3 linked regions of the Drosophila melanogaster genome follow. The protein of the gene in region 3 interacts with the protein of the main gene of each other region in a biochemical or structural test. Each region holds a gene or a part of one and is shown on either strand. Other genes may lie near its edges.

Evidence for each region.
Region 1: the proteins of DIP-iota (region 3) and dpr5 form a complex in vitro, tested with the Drosophila melanogaster proteins (one study listed by BioGRID).
Region 2: the proteins of DIP-iota (region 3) and dpr1 form a complex in vitro, tested with the Drosophila melanogaster proteins (one study listed by BioGRID).

What each region holds. Positions count from the first base shown.
Region 1 is NT_033777.3:11,498,417-11,505,983, reverse strand, and holds dpr5 (defective proboscis extension response 5), read right to left. Parts: upstream 6,001-7,567; 5' UTR 5,632-6,000; coding exon 5,556-5,631; intron 4,915-5,555; exon of another isoform or gene 4,868-4,914; coding exon 4,739-4,867; intron 2,573-4,738; coding exon 2,204-2,572; intron 1,690-2,203; coding exon 1,432-1,689; intron 711-1,431; coding exon 532-710; 3' UTR 458-531; intron 396-457; 3' UTR 33-395; downstream 1-32.
Region 2 is NT_033778.4:20,696,749-20,701,482, forward strand, and holds the start of dpr1 (defective proboscis extension response 1), read left to right. Parts: upstream 1-1,734; 5' UTR 1,735-2,437; coding exon 2,438-2,522; intron 2,523-4,734.
Region 3 is NT_033779.5:6,616,631-6,623,702, forward strand, and holds DIP-iota (Dpr-interacting protein iota), read right to left. Parts: upstream 5,071-7,072; 5' UTR 4,881-5,070; coding exon 4,796-4,880; intron 2,817-4,795; exon of another isoform or gene 2,450-2,816; intron 1,789-2,449; coding exon 1,545-1,788; intron 1,486-1,544; coding exon 1,130-1,485; intron 1,077-1,129; coding exon 795-1,076; intron 735-794; coding exon 663-734; intron 602-662; coding exon 510-601; 3' UTR 504-509; downstream 1-503. Other genes in the region: CG34345 (uncharacterized protein), read left to right, coding at 6,493-6,713, 6,774-6,928, 7,051-7,072.

The DNA of each region.
Region 1 (7,567 bases), on a different chromosome or scaffold from region 3:
TTTATCATAATTAATCTAGATCTCGTCTATCTATTATTAAGATTAAACATTTATTTACATTCGTTACGGATTCGATTCGATTCGGATTCGATTGCTCGTTTTTAGTATCTCTAGGTATGCGATCGTGTGTGAACAAAATGTATATGTCCCATTTGCCACATAGCCAAGATTGACTATATATAGCCTAGCCAGCACATATGCTCTCTCCACCTATTTACTTAATTACGTATAAAAATACTTAGAGACTGAGCCACAAAACACAAACACAAACGTAAACAAAAACTCAATTTACATATTTACAAGACAACGCGACATCGACGTCGTTAACCTCCGCATCCAGCAATTTCTACCGGGCTCCTCCAATGTGGGCGGTTACTGTGACGTGGAGGCGTGGCCTGTAACGAGATGATGACTACGACTCCTGAGCTGATGGTGGCATTAAAAATCACCGACTTACCCGGCCACCAGGAATAACGGGGCTCCCATGGCTCCAGACATCGAACATAAGTTGCCGCTCGTCTTTGGCTCGGCTTAGCGGGTTGAGAGCGGGGTGCGAATCTGGAGGCTGGAGGTGGGGCCCAGCAGGACGACCAGCAGGACCGCCAGGAGCAACAGGGGCAGAGGGGGCAGGAGCAGCCTCGAGCCCAGCTCGTGCTGCATGGCCGCGTGCTGCTCACTTTTAATGATATGCACAAAGACGCTGTCAGAATCTGTTGGGAAAAGGTGGCAAAAGGGTGGGTTAGAAAATTGTAAAATAAATATTTTAGGTCGTTACTTATTAAAGGGCTGAATTTAAATATTAAAGCTGGCATACTCTGTACGAAAAGCAGTGAAAACAATTATTTGAATGTATAATGTATGGCTGCTTTAGCAAGAGTATTATTAGCTATTGTAATAACATTAGTTATTTTTTAAAAACTGTATCTCCTTGAATAAATAACAATAATAAATGTGCACTGCTATTTTCGAATAAAATTTCATAATTGAGTTTATATGCATTCAATATGTAAACTCAATTATAGAATATTATTTTATGCAATAAGCCACCATTAACTTAATGCCTTGTAGCTATGGATAAAGTGAAATCTGTATATTTTACATTGTAACTGATCACAATGTATACTACACCCATAAATAAGTAAGCAATTGAATTAATTTGATTTTCAGTATTTGATGGTTAATTTACGATGTTTATATGTGCAACTACTTTTCGATAGTCATGTGCATGTGTAAATATTTTATACGAGTCAGTTGGTGGCGTGTTTCAAATGTAATTAAGTATTTAATGAAATCGAACTTTCGTTGTAAAACTGTCAGTTCCATCTTGGACTAATTGGATTTAAATTAAATTTTCGACACACACACCTTAATCGCATATGTATTCACCTAGTGTCCTTAATCTAACAGTTCATGCATTTCTAAAGGACTCACTCGAGTTGTCCGCGGAGCAGGTGTAGTTGCCCGAGTCCGTGTGCTGGACTCGCGATATCACCAGGTTGCTGGTCTTCATCTGCTGCTCGGACTCTACGCGGATGCCACCCCGCGCCGAGTCGCTTACCAGCTCCGTGTCCTTGTGCCACAGCATGTGCGTGTAGGGTCCTGGAGCCTGGGGTGCGATGCACGTCAGATTGATGTCGCTGCCACTCTGGATGAACAGCTCGCGGTTGGCCAGGATCTGAGCCTTGGAGGCTGTCAAAGAGCGGCGTCGTTTTCGATTAATGGGTATGTCAACAAGTTGCCTATTGGGTGGATCCATAGCCCTCAACCCCTCAACTTCTCAATCCCTATTCCCATGCCCCATCCTAGTTTGTCGTGTGATGTACTGGGGTGTTTGATAAACTAATTTGTCAAAGTAATCCCAGCCCTTCGCGCCCTTGCGCTGCTGTCTAAACGGAGATGTAAGCAACGTCTTACAAGACCGCCAATCGATTGAGATTCAATGGGAGTAATAAAACAGGAACTTGGGGCTGAATTTCGATTGAATAATTATGATGGGTCATGAAAGGGTTCGGAACAAACTTAAGCGGATTCAAATGGATTTGGAATGTTTAGTGGTATGTACATACCAACAGAGAATTATTTGAAGCCCTTCGATTCGTTATGAACACAAGGATATTATCAGTAAATATAGTTTTGGATATATTCATTTGCTCAAAAGTGACAAGTGTCTTGTTCATAGCTCTTCTTAGTGAAAGATACTTACTCACGACGACCAGCTTGTAGGCCAGACTGATCTTGGGCTCCGTGGACACCTGGCACTCGTAGACGCCCGCATCTCTCTGCTGCACCGAAACGATCTTGAGCACCCACTCGTCGGAGTTGTCGATGTGCCGCGCCAGAAAGCGCTGATCGTTCGTGTAGGTCATGATGCCGATGGTCAGGATGTGGAGATCCCGTTGTCGTATCCAGGACACCGCCCTGTCGCCCAGGTGGCGAACGCGGCAGTGGAGACGGGCGGTGGTGCCCAAAGCTGCAATAACCTCCCGATCTGTTGTGTTGTCAAACACGGGATCGATGGCATCGTAATTATCTGGTATCAAGTTGGACAATTCCTCGGCGGCGGCCAGATGGCCTGTAAAACAGTAAACAGATTATAATTATTTAAAAGGTTGAATAAGTTGAATAAGTTTTAAGAACCCAAGGATATGAATAACCCTCTAAACGTCAAATTTATCCCCGCGGAAACAGAATCTATGCCAATATATATTGTTAGTACATAAAGGGCCTAGATATTCAAGCTGCCCATTAAATATTCCCTGGGTAGTTCATTCCACCAGTTGTATCTGAACGTCAATCTAAACGTATTCAAGTGCATTTCAGGACCTGAGCCCAGGAGGCAGGCAGGCAGATGAACACAGGAAGCGTCGGATAGATAGACAGTTAGACTGGCAGATAGATAGATGAATAGATAGATATGCAGACGGACAGACAGACGGACGGACAAACGGACAGATGGATGGTCGATTGGTTGGCTCAATCAGCTGGCGGGGATGCCTCAGCTGGCAATCAGCATTCATTTGATTAACGAGTATTTGTGCTTAATTTATGCCGGAGCTTAAGCCTACACCCCTTTGGAGCCATTCCCGCGTTTATGATCCATCGCTGGGCGGCCAAGTGATTTATGTGGGTGGTGGTGCTATTGGCGCTATTGTTGCTGCAGCTCCACCGCCCAAATGGCGATGTATTAGCCAACTAATGCGCTAATAATCCATGAGTGCCTAAACAAATACAAACACAAATACAGCTGTGCGTGGGATGTGAAGGAGAAGGGACTGGGTACTACTCGATTGGTTATGTGGATATGTGGATGTGGAGTGGATAAACACATATTGATTTATAGGCCAGGATCCATATTGTGTGCGAGTGTGGTTGAGCAAATTTAGCTATCAAATATCAGGCAATAAAATGACGTTTAACACTTAATTGAAACTGTTGATCCGCAGCCGATGACTATGACGATGCTTTAGCTTTCGCTATGGCTGTTGCTTTTGCTTTTGCTTTTGGCCAGGCCAAGGCACTTGAACTGAAATTGCTTTTTATGCTGGCCACAAAATAAAAAAAAAAAACTCCCTCGCACACACGTTCCCGCACAACGGCAGGAAATATGTAACAACATAAAATTTTTTAATAAAAGTTGCGTATTTACATACAAAGTGCGGGGTGGTAAGTTGGAAAATTGCCGGGTCGAACCGCAACCGCAGCTTCAGTGGCCATGGCTAACGCTTCTGCAGGACCTCAACATCCACATCCACAACCTCCGGCTCTTCCTTCATCACCATATCCCCATCATCCCTAGCTGCAGTTCCCCAAGCGGGCCCTAAACTGAGTTCAGGTGCCATAAATTACAAATGAGCAATTGCAGCTGCTCCTGGGTCCCGCATCAAATTCACTCGCAGCAGAGAGATGCGAAATAGATGGGATCATAAACAATTCCTGACAGCTGCGAGTGCAGATTACCTAATTCGGATCCCCTTTTAGAGATCAGTTATCCATTAGGCAGCTTGCTCCCTTCCGTTGCAAAAAGCGAAGCGGAATTTAACTTTGTGTTGAACCACATTAAACCACATTAAAAGTTTGCAGGATTTAAATGAATAAACCATGTATGCAACTTAAAAAAAAAAAAACATCTGTGTGAAAAAATAACTAACCGGAAAAGTTACTTTCCATAAGTGTAATTTAATAGGCAAATATGTGTTGAGGGATTTGAGAAATATGAAAAAATGGAAATACAAATTCACAAAGTACTAATTGTATGAAATTTAATAAAACATGCTTTTTACGTTTAAGCTTATGTTGCACAAAAAATTATAAATCAAATATAAATCAAATATGGCGAAAAAAAGAGTTAATTTCTTTTATTCAAGTCATAATCGTTGTGCTCGTTTAACTCCTTTAATCTGAACTCCTTTAACTTTAACTCCTTTAATCTATCTAAAAGTAATTTTAATTAAGGTATTAGCAATTTAGTTTTTTAATTTCATTAACCGCTTAAGCAGTTGAGTATTTAAAGTGTGTCCTCTGCCCCAACTGCGAGATCAGTGACCCCTTGTAATCCCCGCCATATCCCTCAATCTAATTAGATTGCTTCGCGCTTCCCGATTCCCCACTTCCGATTCCGATTCCCAATACCATTCGCTCTGCGATTCTCATTTATTATGCCATTTCTGATACGACTGCCCAGTCCCCGGTTGGCTTAACCCTTTGAGTGTTGTCTGATTAGATTTAAATCCGTACTCACCGAAGTATTGGCTGCTGCGCCGGCTCTGCTTGTCGACTGGAGCGGTTAATCCCATGATCACGAGCAGCGCCATAAAGTATTCCACCAACATTTCATGCGCAATTTGTGGGGCTCTCGAATTACTTATAACTGCAGCCAGGACGAAGGACCACCAGCGAAGAGCAGGAGCAAAGTGGGTAGGGCGACAACAGAAAAGTAATTAAAATAAATGATGGCAATCGCGGAGAACTCGACTCTACTCAATTCAACTCGAACCGAACCGAAGCGACTCAAATCGACTCGAAAGGCAACACACAAAAGATGAAGCTAAAGATGAAGGATACTCGCCACCAGCCCCGCCCACTTTTTAGCCCACAATTGTGCAGAAACAATAACTGAAAGGGATTAGGCTCTGGGCTCCGTCTTATCGGTGCTCCGGAAACCGCAGCACATTCATTTAAACTGATGACAAGACCGCAGTGCGGTCGAGTTTTCAATCACCATGACGCCCACAGGACAAGAACGAGATGAAGATGTCCTTGCGAGTGTTTGGCAGGGGGATGGGGGGTGCCTTCCGTTGGGTCGTTAGAAGGATCCTGGAAGTGGAGGGGGGCTGGTGGTTGGATTCGAGCTTTTGGTAATTTCTTCATTACACACTAAGCTGTCCATTCAATTGCTTCTGGCCAACGGATGAGGAAAAGCAGGAGCATTTACCTCGCCCGCAGGCAGCAATTTCGCTCTGGTCACGTTCTGATAATACACTTAATTATATTCGACAGGGACGTGGAGCTAAAAAGAAGGAGGAGGAACTGAGGGACTAGCGCAAATGAGGAGCTACCTTTTCCTATGAGCGGACTAGATTCGGTGGCCGTGGTCGAAGTAAATGTAGCGCGAACTGCGTGCCGCCATCTCATGCGCAACGTAACGCATTCGAGCGCGTTGCGTTTGTGTCCTTTTCCGCGGAGCGAGCAGGTCCTTGGCTTACGTAACAGCCCTTACGCTACGTAAGGAGCACTCATCCACACACTCCGACACACTCCAGCACCATCACCAGCACCACCAATTCGCAAAATCAGTCACTCCAATGACGCGATTCCAATTCCAATTCCGATTCCGATTGAGACGCCAGATACGAGATACGAGATACGAAAGCCAGCCGAGCAGGCCGAACACGAGTCACGGCTAGCGATTTCCCAGAGTCACGGGTAGCAGTTCACGGGTCACGGGACACAGTTCCCCGAGTTTCCGGTTTGTCAGCGCTCGTTGCGTGTGTGTGGCTTGAGGCGCGGTAAACAACTGAACGGAGCTGCTCCAGCGAATCCTCCAACAATATGCAAATCTCCAGGAGAAGCAGTGTCCTTGCGCCGGCGCAACAGCAACATGTTGCGGCAACATTTATTGAAGCCAAATTGAATGGTAAGCCATCGTATCATATTAGGAGGCGTGGGTGGGTTGTCGGAGGGTTAAGACCTGCTCCTGCATGTCCTTAAAGTTCATTGGAGGTGCGTGGCTGAATGTGCTTATGAAATATTTAGTAGGGTACGTTTGATTTGTGTCACGCAAACGGCAGACAGCAGCAGATCGGCCGGCGACAAGAAAGGAGCAACAATGGAGCAGCGAGCACCAGCACCAGCAATAATGATACACAAAAACACAAAACAACATCAATAATAGAAGGCGGAAAACTCATGCATGACAAGGCGCCTTTTTAAGCCAGCTTTTTGCAATTGAAAGTGGCAGTGGCAGCAACAGACAACCACACACACACTCGCACAGCACTCGAGTGCCACGCATTGTGCGCCCATTGTGTCAAAGCGGAAACGGATATGAAGCGGCCATGGTGCTGTTGCTGCTGCTACTGCTGCTCCCTACTCATGCCGCGCCCCATGTTGCTCATGTTGCTGTGCTGCCGTTGGGCGACTTATCAAAATCGATGAGGCAACATATGGTCGATTTTAATTTTCTAACATATCTCTCTGCACGCACACAGACAGGCGACACACACGAGCCATTGACACGAGACAAGCCACTGGAATACACACACACACACATGCAGACTGGCATCCTCACCTCGGAAAGTCCTTCTGCCTTTTCCACACCCTCGTCGACTGCAGTACCCCCCTGAAATCCGTTTAGCATATTTTCTTTGGAAATTGAATTTCCAAGTTATTATAAATATTTCTCCAATAAATGCAATTTGAGTGGAATTCTTTCTTCGTCGCGTCGTGTGCTTCGACTTCCTCACCTACTCCTGTTTTAGCATATCCTGGCGAATCAAATAGACAACAGGACGAGCGGGCGCCTCAGTTGGGATAGACCACCCACGTCGCTCATATTATTTTACACTAACAAGCCAAACATTCCTTAAATTTAACAAGCGGCGACATTTTGCCAGCCCCTCATCCATCTCTTTTAGCCCTAAGTGAATTCTGTTTTCATCGCTGGCTGTCGGTGAATAGGGGTGCAGAATTATGAAAAATGTTTACTATATATAGGGGGGAAAGTCACCAGAAATTGTTGCAAGAATGTAAGGCGCTTAAAGTGCGGTTGTGGGCCACGATAACTTTTGATACGCTGCCAGTTGCCCAGAAAAGTATGCTTTAATATGTTAAGTTCAATATTTCAAAGCAGTCCGATGAAAGGATCACTTTCGCTGAAACTTCTCGAGTGGAACGACAAGTGCCATTCCGTGTAGTCTTCTTTTGATAAACAGTGATAACTCAGCTGCTTTGACATTCTCTTTTTTTTTTTTTTTGAGACTATAAAGTTTCGAATGGGTTTTTAAACATTGCTAAAAGAAGTTGGTGTTGAACAAACTTTACAACCAGTTCTAAGAGGACAGGAACTTTA
Region 2 (4,734 bases), on a different chromosome or scaffold from region 3:
AATGTGCCGCATCGCACGTCTTAATAGATTTTTGATTTGTTTGCCCACCCTTCTTAGCTGGTAACTCAGACTTCCCCATTCCGAACCCGGATCCATATCCGAATTCGAATCCAAATCCAATTGTGAGGCGGGCGTGCGTCTCTGATTGGAATAATGATTTCGCTGAAGCAAAGATAGAACATAAACCGAGCCAGATTTGTTGTTTTTTTTTTTTTTGTGGGGAGTAACTTGTTTTTGTCAATATAGAAAATCAATAACTGTTTTCGCCGCTACCGTTCGGTTAAATCAGACGAGGGTAATTCAATTAAGAAATCACACAGGAGGCCAGGAATTAGTAAAAATGGAACGCTCAAGGCTCCGCGAAATGGAGGATTAAAAGCGAGTCCTGAAAGTTGGCCATTTCTTTATTTCTGTCTATGATGAACAATGGGATGGTATTTGGGCAACATTTTACAAATTGTTTCAATTAAAAAGTTTACTGACTTTGCTTTTTCGCCTTTTACTTTATCTATAAGCGGCTTGCGATTGACACGTGCCTCCATCGCCACGCCCCCCCGACTGAACGCCTCCTTCGGTTATCGAATGGTAGTAATCGCTTTTTGGGGCCGCTAATTGCGGCGACCTTGATTGGTTGGGTGGTATTTATAAGTCCGCAAGTTGATTGCATAATACTGGCAATGTTTGGGCAGTGGGCCATAAGTCGTAAGCTGGGAAAGCCAAAAGCTGGGCCAATCAATTAAAAATAATCAGGCGGAAAAAGTTCTGGCCAATCTGCACAAATATATGTATATATTTCACAGTCGCTAATTAATTTAATTGATTTAAACGCTTCGGCTTGACCAATAGCAAGGCGAGGGGTTTGGGGGGTGTTATCGAGTGCATTTGATCTGTTTGTTTGCACAAAATTAAATTGACTTGTAATTAAAAGTTTCGCAATTGATTGAAATTCTCGTGTGTGCTTTTCCTTTGTGCTTTTGGGTGGCTGCGATGAGTCCCAGTACTAAGAACGCTTCAGGGAAATTCGCAGCAAATAAACAAAAAATAAGAAAAAGAAAAAAAAAAAAACACTAAAAAGTGCTAATTAGGAGCATTAATTAAAAATGCATTTTTTGTTTGCCGCTCAATTGAACTGCAGAGAACGTGGAACTGTAACAGTTTTCATACACTGGACATTTTCTCTTTAGGCCTGCGGAGTATAAGAGCGGCAGTATAAGAGTATCCCTAACTGACCTATGGCAGGATATTTTTGCGCGGTTTTCTTATTGTTTAGCAGCTTAAATGGTAGTGGGCATAATTAAATATTATATTAAAAACAAGAAGCAAGTTTCATTTATTAAGAAGTAGAACAATTTATTTCCTTTTATGATTTCCCTACATTTTAAAAGCAGAATGGTAAAACTAAGTCCCTAGAAAGTGGAATACAATACTAATATGTTAAAAAAAAGGTTTTATGAGTCTTAATAATAATTAAATAATTAGTAAAGGCTGTAATATAATTATTCATAAGCATTTTATTACAGTTGCAATAGTGCTTTATTACCTGAGACATTATATTCGATATAAACAAAGTTGCTTGGTAATTTCGTGCTCCAATAAGCCGACTGAAGAGAGCGGCTCTGCAGTTTTAGTTCTCTTTGCTCTTACATGTGAACAATATATATGCGAACTTGCCCGAGTGCCGAAGTTAGCCGAAGTCGAGGCGTTCGCCATGTGCCCGAGCGCCGATTACCAGTCAGTTCCATCCTGTGACTCGAAGGCGAAGCACGCGTTTCTTGATTTATGTGCGCGGGTTGTAGTCCCAGTTAAATCCTGTTCAGATATATTCCTCAGTGTTGAGGGTTTCGAAAAAGTGGGCCTAATGAGTGCCCGGGCCTTCGTGTTAATGGCGAATTAATGACGGGGCGATTAAAATGCAATAGCCACATGCATGGGGCGCCGTAATGAGCTGAACCGAGCGACTGAGTACAGTGAAACACAGTGCCATAAATTAGAGGCGCCCACAAAGTGTAGCCTACTGCTTAGCGGCTTTTGGGCTTACGATCTGTTTGAAGTGTTCGTAGACCGTTAAAACCTTTCGCACGCCCACAAAAAAAAAAGTTCTTGTGTAAAGCTCATTTCGCAGCAGATTAACAAAAAAGAAAAAAAAAACAAAACCAGAAAAAAAGGTCAACTCTCAGTGAAAACGAACCAAAAACAGGGCCAAGCGGAGAAAGTACTTTCATTGCTCCCCAGGCAGAGCTTAACCGAGAGTTTTGCCGGGCTCTAATTTGACGGAATCGTTAGTTGACCAGTGACGTTCCACCACCCGGGTGCACCCCCACCACACCGGAATCCGTTTCGCCGGATCCGGATCGCGTGCCAACTACAAGCGTAATAACAATAAACTTGCGGATAACAACCGCAGATACACAGATACAGATACAGATACAGCAGCACAATGTCCCTGCCATCCAGAGCCAATATCGGATTACTCAACTGGCTCATCGGCTGGCTGCTGCTGCTGTCGATGGTTTTGCTCAGAGGTGAGTTGTGCGTCGGGCTTTTTAATTAAATAATCCAATTTATTTTCATTTAATTTCTAATTAAATTTAATTTGTTTGCGCCGCGCTTTGGCCCACCTAATTGCCCCCATGCTCACCATGCCCACCACGCCCATCACGCCCACCATGCCCGTTGTAACCCAAAGACTTTCCTTTGTCGCCTAGGATTTCCCGTCTAATTTCCGGAAAACGAGCGATTTTCGCTGGCCTGGAAAGCGGGCGAATGCGAATTGAAAATTCTTTAATTTTTGTGCTAAGAATTTTAATTCCGCTACAGAGTCGGCAAAAGTTTTCCCTTTTGTCCCTGGCGCAAGTCAAAAGGTGAAGCATTTAATGCCCATCTGTGTGTGACTCCCAAAAAGTGGAGAACCAACAAAATGAAACATTATACAGAGGGAAAAACGAGTGCTCCCCCCGCATCTTGGTTTTAGAATATTTTTGTTTTTAATGCATATATTATATATGTATTTATACGAACTCTTCATGTTTTTTTTTGGGTTAAGATGAGTTAACAAAGTCAGCTAAAGTATATTTCTGTTAAATTATATAATATTACAAAATGTTTTAATATTGGATTTTGGATTGAATTTAACAACACTTTTAGAATATTCTACTTAAACTTTGTTTGAAGTAAGAACTTGAAATACTCACATTGTTATTGTACAATATTTAGTTTTATAGATACAATCACATACAAAAGTAGTTAGAAAATGTTTTAAAGGCTAGTCTACTATCATCTGCATTTAAAACTATTATTTACAGAAAAGCATATATGCAACTAAGTACTCCGGCTATTTGATTTTCCGTGCATTCGTGACCCACTCCTGTCCAGAGTTTTGCAGTCCTAGTTTCGCAGCCCACAAGGTTGGTCCAGTGACCAACTGAAGGGCAGGAGGATGAATGGCGAATGGCCGCATAGTGCGAGTGCGAATGCCACATGCAACGTGTGGGCTGGGCAAACGGTTTTATATAATAGTTTGCAACAGTGGGGCACAAGTCTCACTTTCAATGCATCAAATGAGAAGCACGCGCTTGTGATGCGCCGCGCCACAGAGATAGAAATGTGGGAAAATAAAAAGTAAATATGAAAAATAACACATACTAACGAGCGGCAGACACTTGGAAAATGCTGTTGAAGCTTGGTCATGGCCAAAATGCTTCTGGCTGCAGTTGCACTTGATGTTGTTGCCGCTTGCGCAGCAGCAGCAGCAGCTGCGTTGCATGTGGCACGTTGCAGTTGACACACGAAACTATTGCCATTGGGCTTGGCTTGGCTTTTTGGTTTTTCAGTTTTGGGGTTTAGCCGCCTGTTTGCTGCTTTTAAGTTTGCACTTTTTAGCTTTCAGCGGCTAGCAATTTTCTACTTTCCGTTTTCAGCTCGTCGTTTGTCATCTCTGAAAACAGTAAATTGCATTTTTATACAATTTTCCATCATTTGACTTGGCAGTTGTTCGTCTGGGCTTTGTAATTTTCAAATGAAATACTTTCCGAATGCAATTCGCTTTTGCGCAAATTGTTTCCTTCGTCCTGCTTTCCTTTGACTTGGCTGCTTCTTTGCCTTCTACCCGCCTATCTTGTTAGCCCATTGGCATCTGTCTGGCCATTTCATTTGGCTAAAAGCTACTTGAAGTTGGTTAAGCGCAGACAAACAGACGAAATAACTCATCTTGGCAATTGCAGAACCTGCAAAAAGGCAAGCAATCAAAAAAGATTCCTATCGAATTACTGGGCAACCGATTTTCCAAGGATTTTCTTTGGTCTGGGTTTTATTTGTTCTCTCACAAAGGTGATGATTATTACTTGTAATGATATATTGGAATTAAAATTATTTAATACAAAGTTTTTGGGCATAAAGATGGTTTAAGTTGATTGCAAAAGGCTAACAAGTCAAAATCTAAAATGTAATTTTTCACTACTTTAGCATGGACAACTTTGACAATTAGCCATATTCACTTTTTAAGTACCAATATTTTATAGTTAAATTTGCATATTATTATGCAGATTATTTTTATTTTTATTATATATATATGCATATTGGAATTTTTTGAGGCAAATTTTCGGCCGGCTGTTTGATTCTTTTTCTCAAATTAATTGACAGGGAAAAACTCGACAAATGCATGCGCATATTTCCATAATGAATTCATAAAACTTTCGATCGTGTCCTTTCGCGAGCTCGTGTTATTTGGTTTGTTGG
Region 3 (7,072 bases):
CTCGACACGCTCATAGCTAGATCTAATTCTTAACTCACTAATTTATTGCGAAAGAAACGGAACAGATGCAACCGATGGGAAGTAGCTAAATATTAATGTTTAAATATTAACACACCTGTTGAACACGTCTCCTTAGTTCGATTTCCTCTAAGTTAAGCGTAAAGTTGCGGATCGAATTCTATCGATATATTCAATTGATCTGACTAAGGAATCCAATTGTAAATAACTTAAACGAATTGTAGACTATTTAGAAAAAAATTATTGTAAATGTTGTCCTAAAGCAATTTTATTCAGTCAACCGAACGTAAAAATCAAAACAAAAGATCAGAATCAAAATCAAATTAATTGATTTTTTTTTAATAGTTTGCTCACACGTGCGTTACTTTTACCCTTGAATCGAACAATTGTCACCAAAATTATTATTAATATAACATTGTGAATTAGGCAATATAAAGATGAAGTCACTCATTAGACGTGGCCAAAAGACAAAGCACACATTGTTTGATTGCTCACAAAAGTGACACTTTATTGACGAAACATAGAAACATTATCCAAAGCGGTTGGAAACTGCAGCTCTTATCAGACATATTTGCGATGTATTCTGCAATAAGATTTAGCTAGTTATCTTTATCGCGACTCTATTTATTGTAGAACAAACAAACCTTCGATGACAATGAACTGACTTTCGCGGGAGGAAGTTTGATGCGAGTGCTGTCCATGCTTCTTGGCCTTATCTGGTGGTCAACATTTGTTACATCTAAGGGATTAAGTAACCGAAATATAATCTCACTTACGGTGCACGGTTATAATCCGATCTGTCTGACCCATCGCATTCTTTGCCCTGCATATGTACTCTCCGAAATCTCTTTTCGTTATTGGACGCAGGGTGATCCGCATCACGATCCGGAAGACGTGGTCCACTGAGACCGACTCGTAGGAACCTCCTTGCAGCAATTGCGAATCCCTCAGCCAGAAGTTCACCGATGCCGGCTGCGATTCTGTGATGCACTCCAGCGTCAGCTTCTGGCCCAGGCCCACGTAGATGGTATCGTAGCGTGTCCAGATCGTGGGCGCAACTGAAAGATAACTCAGTATTATATATTGAATCCAACTCTTTGTTCACACATACAATTCACCACCAGCATGACGCGTTTGCTCACTGTGGGTGGCACTCCGTTGGAGGCGATGCAGAGATAGGCGCCCATGTGGGAGCGCTGCACCTGCCACAGGGTGAGATTCTGACCCTCCACGCTGAACACTTCCCGATCGCCGTCGTCTGAAATCAGTATCGGAGTCGCTTCCTCGCGACGCCAGGTGATGGTGGGCATGGGCACTCCCGTTGCACTGCAAGTGAGTGTTACGTTCTGTCCCGTGGAACGAACCACATCCTGACTGGTTTGATAGTCTACAATGTCTGGCGGCACCACCACATCCAGGTAGCCCATTTGGCTCTTCATGGGATCCGTGTTGATTTGGCACATGTACCTACGGTAAACGCTAGTAGAAGAATATGGTCCATCTATCTGATAGATACTTTCACTCACCATCCGCGATCCGATTCCTGAACATCGCGTATTTTTAGCTGCCAGATCCGATGCTCCGTGTGGGAGATGGAGATGCGATGGTTCTTGGTGATGACGTGGTTCTGGATGCTCAGTATCGTCTGCGTGTCCACTCGCAGCCAGGCCACCTTGAAGCTAACCAGGTCGTGGACAACACACGTGAGTAGGGCATCCCGTCCCACGGGAACTGTTGAGTTGTTGATTGGACCGCTGAACTTGGGATCCGCTGCAAAGGAAGATGGTGGCACCAAGCCCAATGGTTTGGCATTTATGGCTTTCATCATTAGGGCGCTAAATGGGGCGACGATATACAACTGCTGGGTGGCTTTTGGGGTGGTTTATGGGGCTTGCAAATGTGAGGCACTGGCATTTGCTGTATTTTAATGGAACTCAGACGCCAAACATTTAATTCAATTAAAAAATAACCTTTTTTTATGTGCAGCTTTTCTAATCCACAATTATCAGGATAATTATTTCATTTCTTATCCTCGCACATTTTTGCGTGTCTCTGCAGAATGTCAACGCAGACTAGGCCAAGTTTGTTGCCAGATGGCCCGCCGAAATGGTCAACGATATTTAAAATTGTTTAACGGCCATAAATTTCTTGAGGTTAACATTAGGCCGAGACAGCGGCAGATAATCCAATAATTAGATAAATTATAGATGTCAGCTACATTCTGGCAAAATAGAGTAGCTTCAACACTAACAAATTGTAAAACTAGCAAAACGAAGCTATTTTTGAATCAGTAAAATATGTTGATTATATTATATATATATAGAAACAATAGTTTTGAACATCATCTTAAACCTATGATTTGGTTATGGATTCTTTTCTGAGCACTTTTACTCAAAAATAGTACCTCATGTATTGTACATACATAATATTGAACAGCGGGATAGTTATGTTTTGATTTTATCGTAAATAATAGCATAAACACGTTGGGTTCACACACTATGAACTCAAACTACTGCTTTCCGGCGTGTTGTTGCTTCGGCCAACTCGAGTCCCATCGCAATAATTTTGAGTCAAGGTGCCCGACCGCAGGACTTCGACAGTTGCCGTCAGCCAATCTAACCACCAGAGTTCCAACCGCAAACCGAACCCACCCACACCATCGCAAACACAACAATGGGCTGGAGGCAGGAGTAATGGAAGAAATCACATCACATGCCTAACAAGTAGCACGACTCTGTGGCCAGGAGACGAGGAATCCAGTTCCAGCTACTGTTCCTGTTCCAGCAAACGCCTAAATTACAATTATGACCAAATAATAACCCGAAAAAATGCAAAAATCTAATAGAGCGCGGTATGTGTGTGTGTGTTGGTTGGGGGGCAGCAGGTGCTGGTACCTGGAAAATTGTAAAAAGCTGTGCTACACCTTTATGTATACCCCCCCCATCCACCACGAATTGATTGCGTTGTGTGGGGGGGGTATCCACCAAACTAGCATCAAATTGGGTAGCCTACGGATGCCATGCCATAGAGCCTATAATTTGCGATTATGTTTGGGTCTGGCCGCAAGTTGGGCGCTTTTTTTTTGGAGTCCGAGTCCGAAGGCTCCGCCTTCAGTTGCTCTGAGTGTGGGGAACGAGGCGCCATTGTTTGACTGCCTTCAGTTGATATGGTTTCTGTTTTTGTTGGTATTGCAATTTGGTTATTGCATGTTTGCATATTGAAACATTCCGAAGAAAGGGACGAGCGAGACTTTTTAAGCCATAAAACACAAACGTACTTTGCACTGGAAATAAAAGTATAATAAGCTAAAGAACTAATATAAAAAAAACAAAAATTTCAATAATATATTTGCATCAACAGATTTTGATTAGATTTTTTATGCATAAAGGAGCAATGAACATAAAACGCTAACAAAACTACAAGGTAAGTAATTATGTATAATATCTTACTTTTGATTTCTACTTTTGAAATTATTCTGAGTGTACTCATACATGTGTGTTCATATAGTTAAACTTTTCTTCTTTTATTTATGTCTGCAAGGTAGCGTAATTTAGCATTTAACTTTTTCGCCACCGCACCGCCTTTGTTGTTGCCACATTTTATAAGGGGAAATTGACTATGAGTTGTTAAATATATTTTCCTGTTTTCTTGCACGACTTGTATCGCTGGAATCGCTTGAATCGCTCGGCCAGGACTTAAGCCGCATTTTCCCCGCGAAGTCGCTGCAAATCCGGCCGTGTCCTTTCCCCACGCCACTTGAACTTGAAACGGAAAGTGAATGTCCTGTCTCCTGTTAGACACTCCAGCTGTCTGCCGGCGAAAGGAATCACAATCACAATCAGCACGCAATGTCTGCCAAAAAGTTAAGTAAAAACTGCGAAATAACCCACTGCAGTGGCAGTTCCACACCCGCAACCGCCAACCGAAAAACGCGGCACTTCAGCGGCAGAAACCGCCGGCCAGGAATAGAAAAAAAAATGAAACGAAAATATCGCAGAGTGCAATAGGAAGTGGGAAAACGTCGCCTTTCCGCGACTGTCTGTCTGCCTGCCCGCTGTGCGGTGGGTGGTGGGTGGTGGGAGTTGGTTGGTTGGCACGGAACATCGTGCGGTGCGGTGCATCATCACTCCTTTGAGCCACTTCTCACTTTCTTATCGCACGCTGCGGCTAGCCTGCCAATATTTATGTTTACTTTGCATCTGGCACATTGATTTAAATGCGAATTTTGTCGAATTTTGATATATTTATCGCATTTGGCTCGCCAAAGTCAAGGAAAATTTGTTTTGTTTTTTTTATTCGGCGCACATTTTCCCCAGCGGAAGTTACCCCTCGTTACTCTTTCGCAGCTCTCCACCGGAAACCCCTCTGCCCGCTCCCTTTCCCTATCACCGCCATCCTGTCTGTCCCGTCTGGGGAATATGTTGGCCACAGTTTATTCACTTATGGACTCGTTGGACTTCCGATTACCAGCTACCTTCCATTTTATACGCTACCACTCCGGCTTTAGATAGTTTGCAGTCAATTAGCTGTACACTTTTGGGTTCATCATTTCGTGTTGGCGGGTTACAAAAGTTCAGCTTGTAAACAGGATACTTTTTAATTGTACAACATTCAAAAAACGTCATATTAATCGAGAAAAACTATCCTTAAAATGTTTAATTTAATATTTAATGGGTTATGCATTTCATTCAAAGTAAATCTTATATTTCTGACTAATTTCATTATTAGCAATCAGATTTATTTATCCTTTAGTTAATCACATCCTCGATCCACTTACAATTGTTTAGCTCCGAAAAGCTGGCCTGGCTGAAACACACGCTCTGCAGGAGCAGCAGCCAAAAGCTGGGCAATCGCCTTCCCATAGCCGAAAACTCAACCGCAATCAAGGTGCGAAACTTTTGAATATTTGCTGATTTCCCACTTTAATTTTTAACTCTGCCACTTTCACTGCCCAAATGGCCGAAGTTCAACTTCCGCCGCAACAGCGCAAATGTATTTTTTCCGCTTCTGCGGATGAAGTTTTTTCCGCCGATTGCCGTGGCCAAACGTCCGCACACCCGTACAACTGGTCGCGAACTGATAATCAAGTGTCAAAACTCATATTCAAAATTCAAATGCGGCACTGGCGTTGCGCATGTGTCCTGCGGCCTTGCGAAGGTAGTGGGTGGTGGTTGGGTGGTTCTAGTGTGTCTAGTGGGTATGGTTGTAGCCCAGTAGTAGTCAAGGTGCCCGGCAGCCGAAAGACGGTGCTGTGCAATAGTAAATGTTTCATTCATAAACCGCCCGACGTAATATTTTCATATGCACGTGACGATATGAAGTATACGACATGTTGCCGGGGGAAAGTGACACATTATTGGTGATTTTTTTGTGGGCGGCGGAGAATAAAGGCCAACTCCAATACCATTCTAATTAACCCCGAAATGCCGCGCATCTTCTGCCCAACTTTCACCCGTATCCCCCATATCCCTCCGGATTCCAGCTGCTGCTCCTCTGCTTTTCTGCGATGCTTGCACTTCCAACTGGCTTGGTTTGCATGTGTGAGCTTCTCGGTAAGTTGGCATTAAGTTCGCACCGCTATTTGCGCACAATTAGCGCTTTTCAATAGCGATAACAATAATCATAATAAGCACGTGGAATTTGCTTGATTGTTGTTTTCCCTAGGGGCACATCTTTTGCTGGCCCATGCAAGTTTCTCTTCGTTTCTTCATTCTGGCCTCTGAGTCAGAGCCTCTGTCTTAATTAAATAATATTTTGCTAAAATTTGAGTGTGTTTTTATGCAATCTTGAAGTCTAAGTGATTGATAAATCCTACCTTTGTTTCATAATTTGATTAGTCAGCAAAATAAACTTACGTTTTAGAGTATCTGAATGGCAATACGTACATTAGATTGCCTTGACTAGTTATGTATATTTTTAAAATAGACTTAAATTCAAGAATTGTTAGTTTAGTGGATTTAACATACTTTTTCATTATTTAAAAATTATTTATTTAAAAAACTGCCGATAATTTCAAATTGTTTCTGCTTGATGTATAATAAAGCCTTTCAAATAAACTTTCCTTACTTTTACTTACACATGAAAAGTATGTGTCTTGGCTAACTGTGTAGAAACTCGAAATCAAATTTCGAAAAAGCAAACAGAAATGGTTTACAACTCCGATGTTACCTAACAATAAAATTATGGCGGTGTATAACTTTGCTAAAAGTTATAGTGTTGTGTAGCGCTGTTAAAAGAAGTAAGCGAATTTACAACTATTTTTTGAAACAAGAATCACTCATGAAATATGTTCTATGAGGCTTGTTAGGGAAATACTAAATTATATTAAGCTAAATATACAAACAGTGTATATGTGTAACTTAAGTGTATCAATCACCGCAGCATTTAAAATAGGCCTGACGAATAAGCGATATAAATCAATTTAAAATGTAGTATCTTCGTTAGGAAATGAAAAAATATAGTTTTCGCAGCAGAATGTTGCTAAGATCATTTCATTATATTCTGCTGAACTGGATTTTATTATTCCTATTCACAGTTTGCAAAGCAAAGAAAGCCGAAAATGATGTAGTACAGGAAGTAATATACTCAAATTCCATTCGAGCCCTGTCTGAACTTCGCGAGATTGAGAATTCCTATATGGAGCATTTAAACAACTATGTTAGCTTTCTGCAACAAAAAATCAAAACTCTCAGAATGTATGATATATATTTTAATTCCTCTCTTAAAACTAGAATTACACTTTAACTTTCACATAGTTTTATTAATTCTTTAACTCCGAATTATTTGGATCACAAGGTGGATCGATATAAATATGTGTCCAATCCCCTAAATTCCTTTGGACTTTTAAGGCGGGCTCATCAAGATTGGCCCAAGTTGATTGCTTACTTAAAGGATCAAGGAAATATAAAAGGTGTGGATTATATACAATGTTTGCACGTTTTCTCAATTTCAAGGGAAGCTAAAAGTACATTTTTGTATTTTATCACTTAAATATGAAACAACAGGCTATTGGTTTATTTAAATATTTTACAGTTGACATCGAGGAAATGAATAA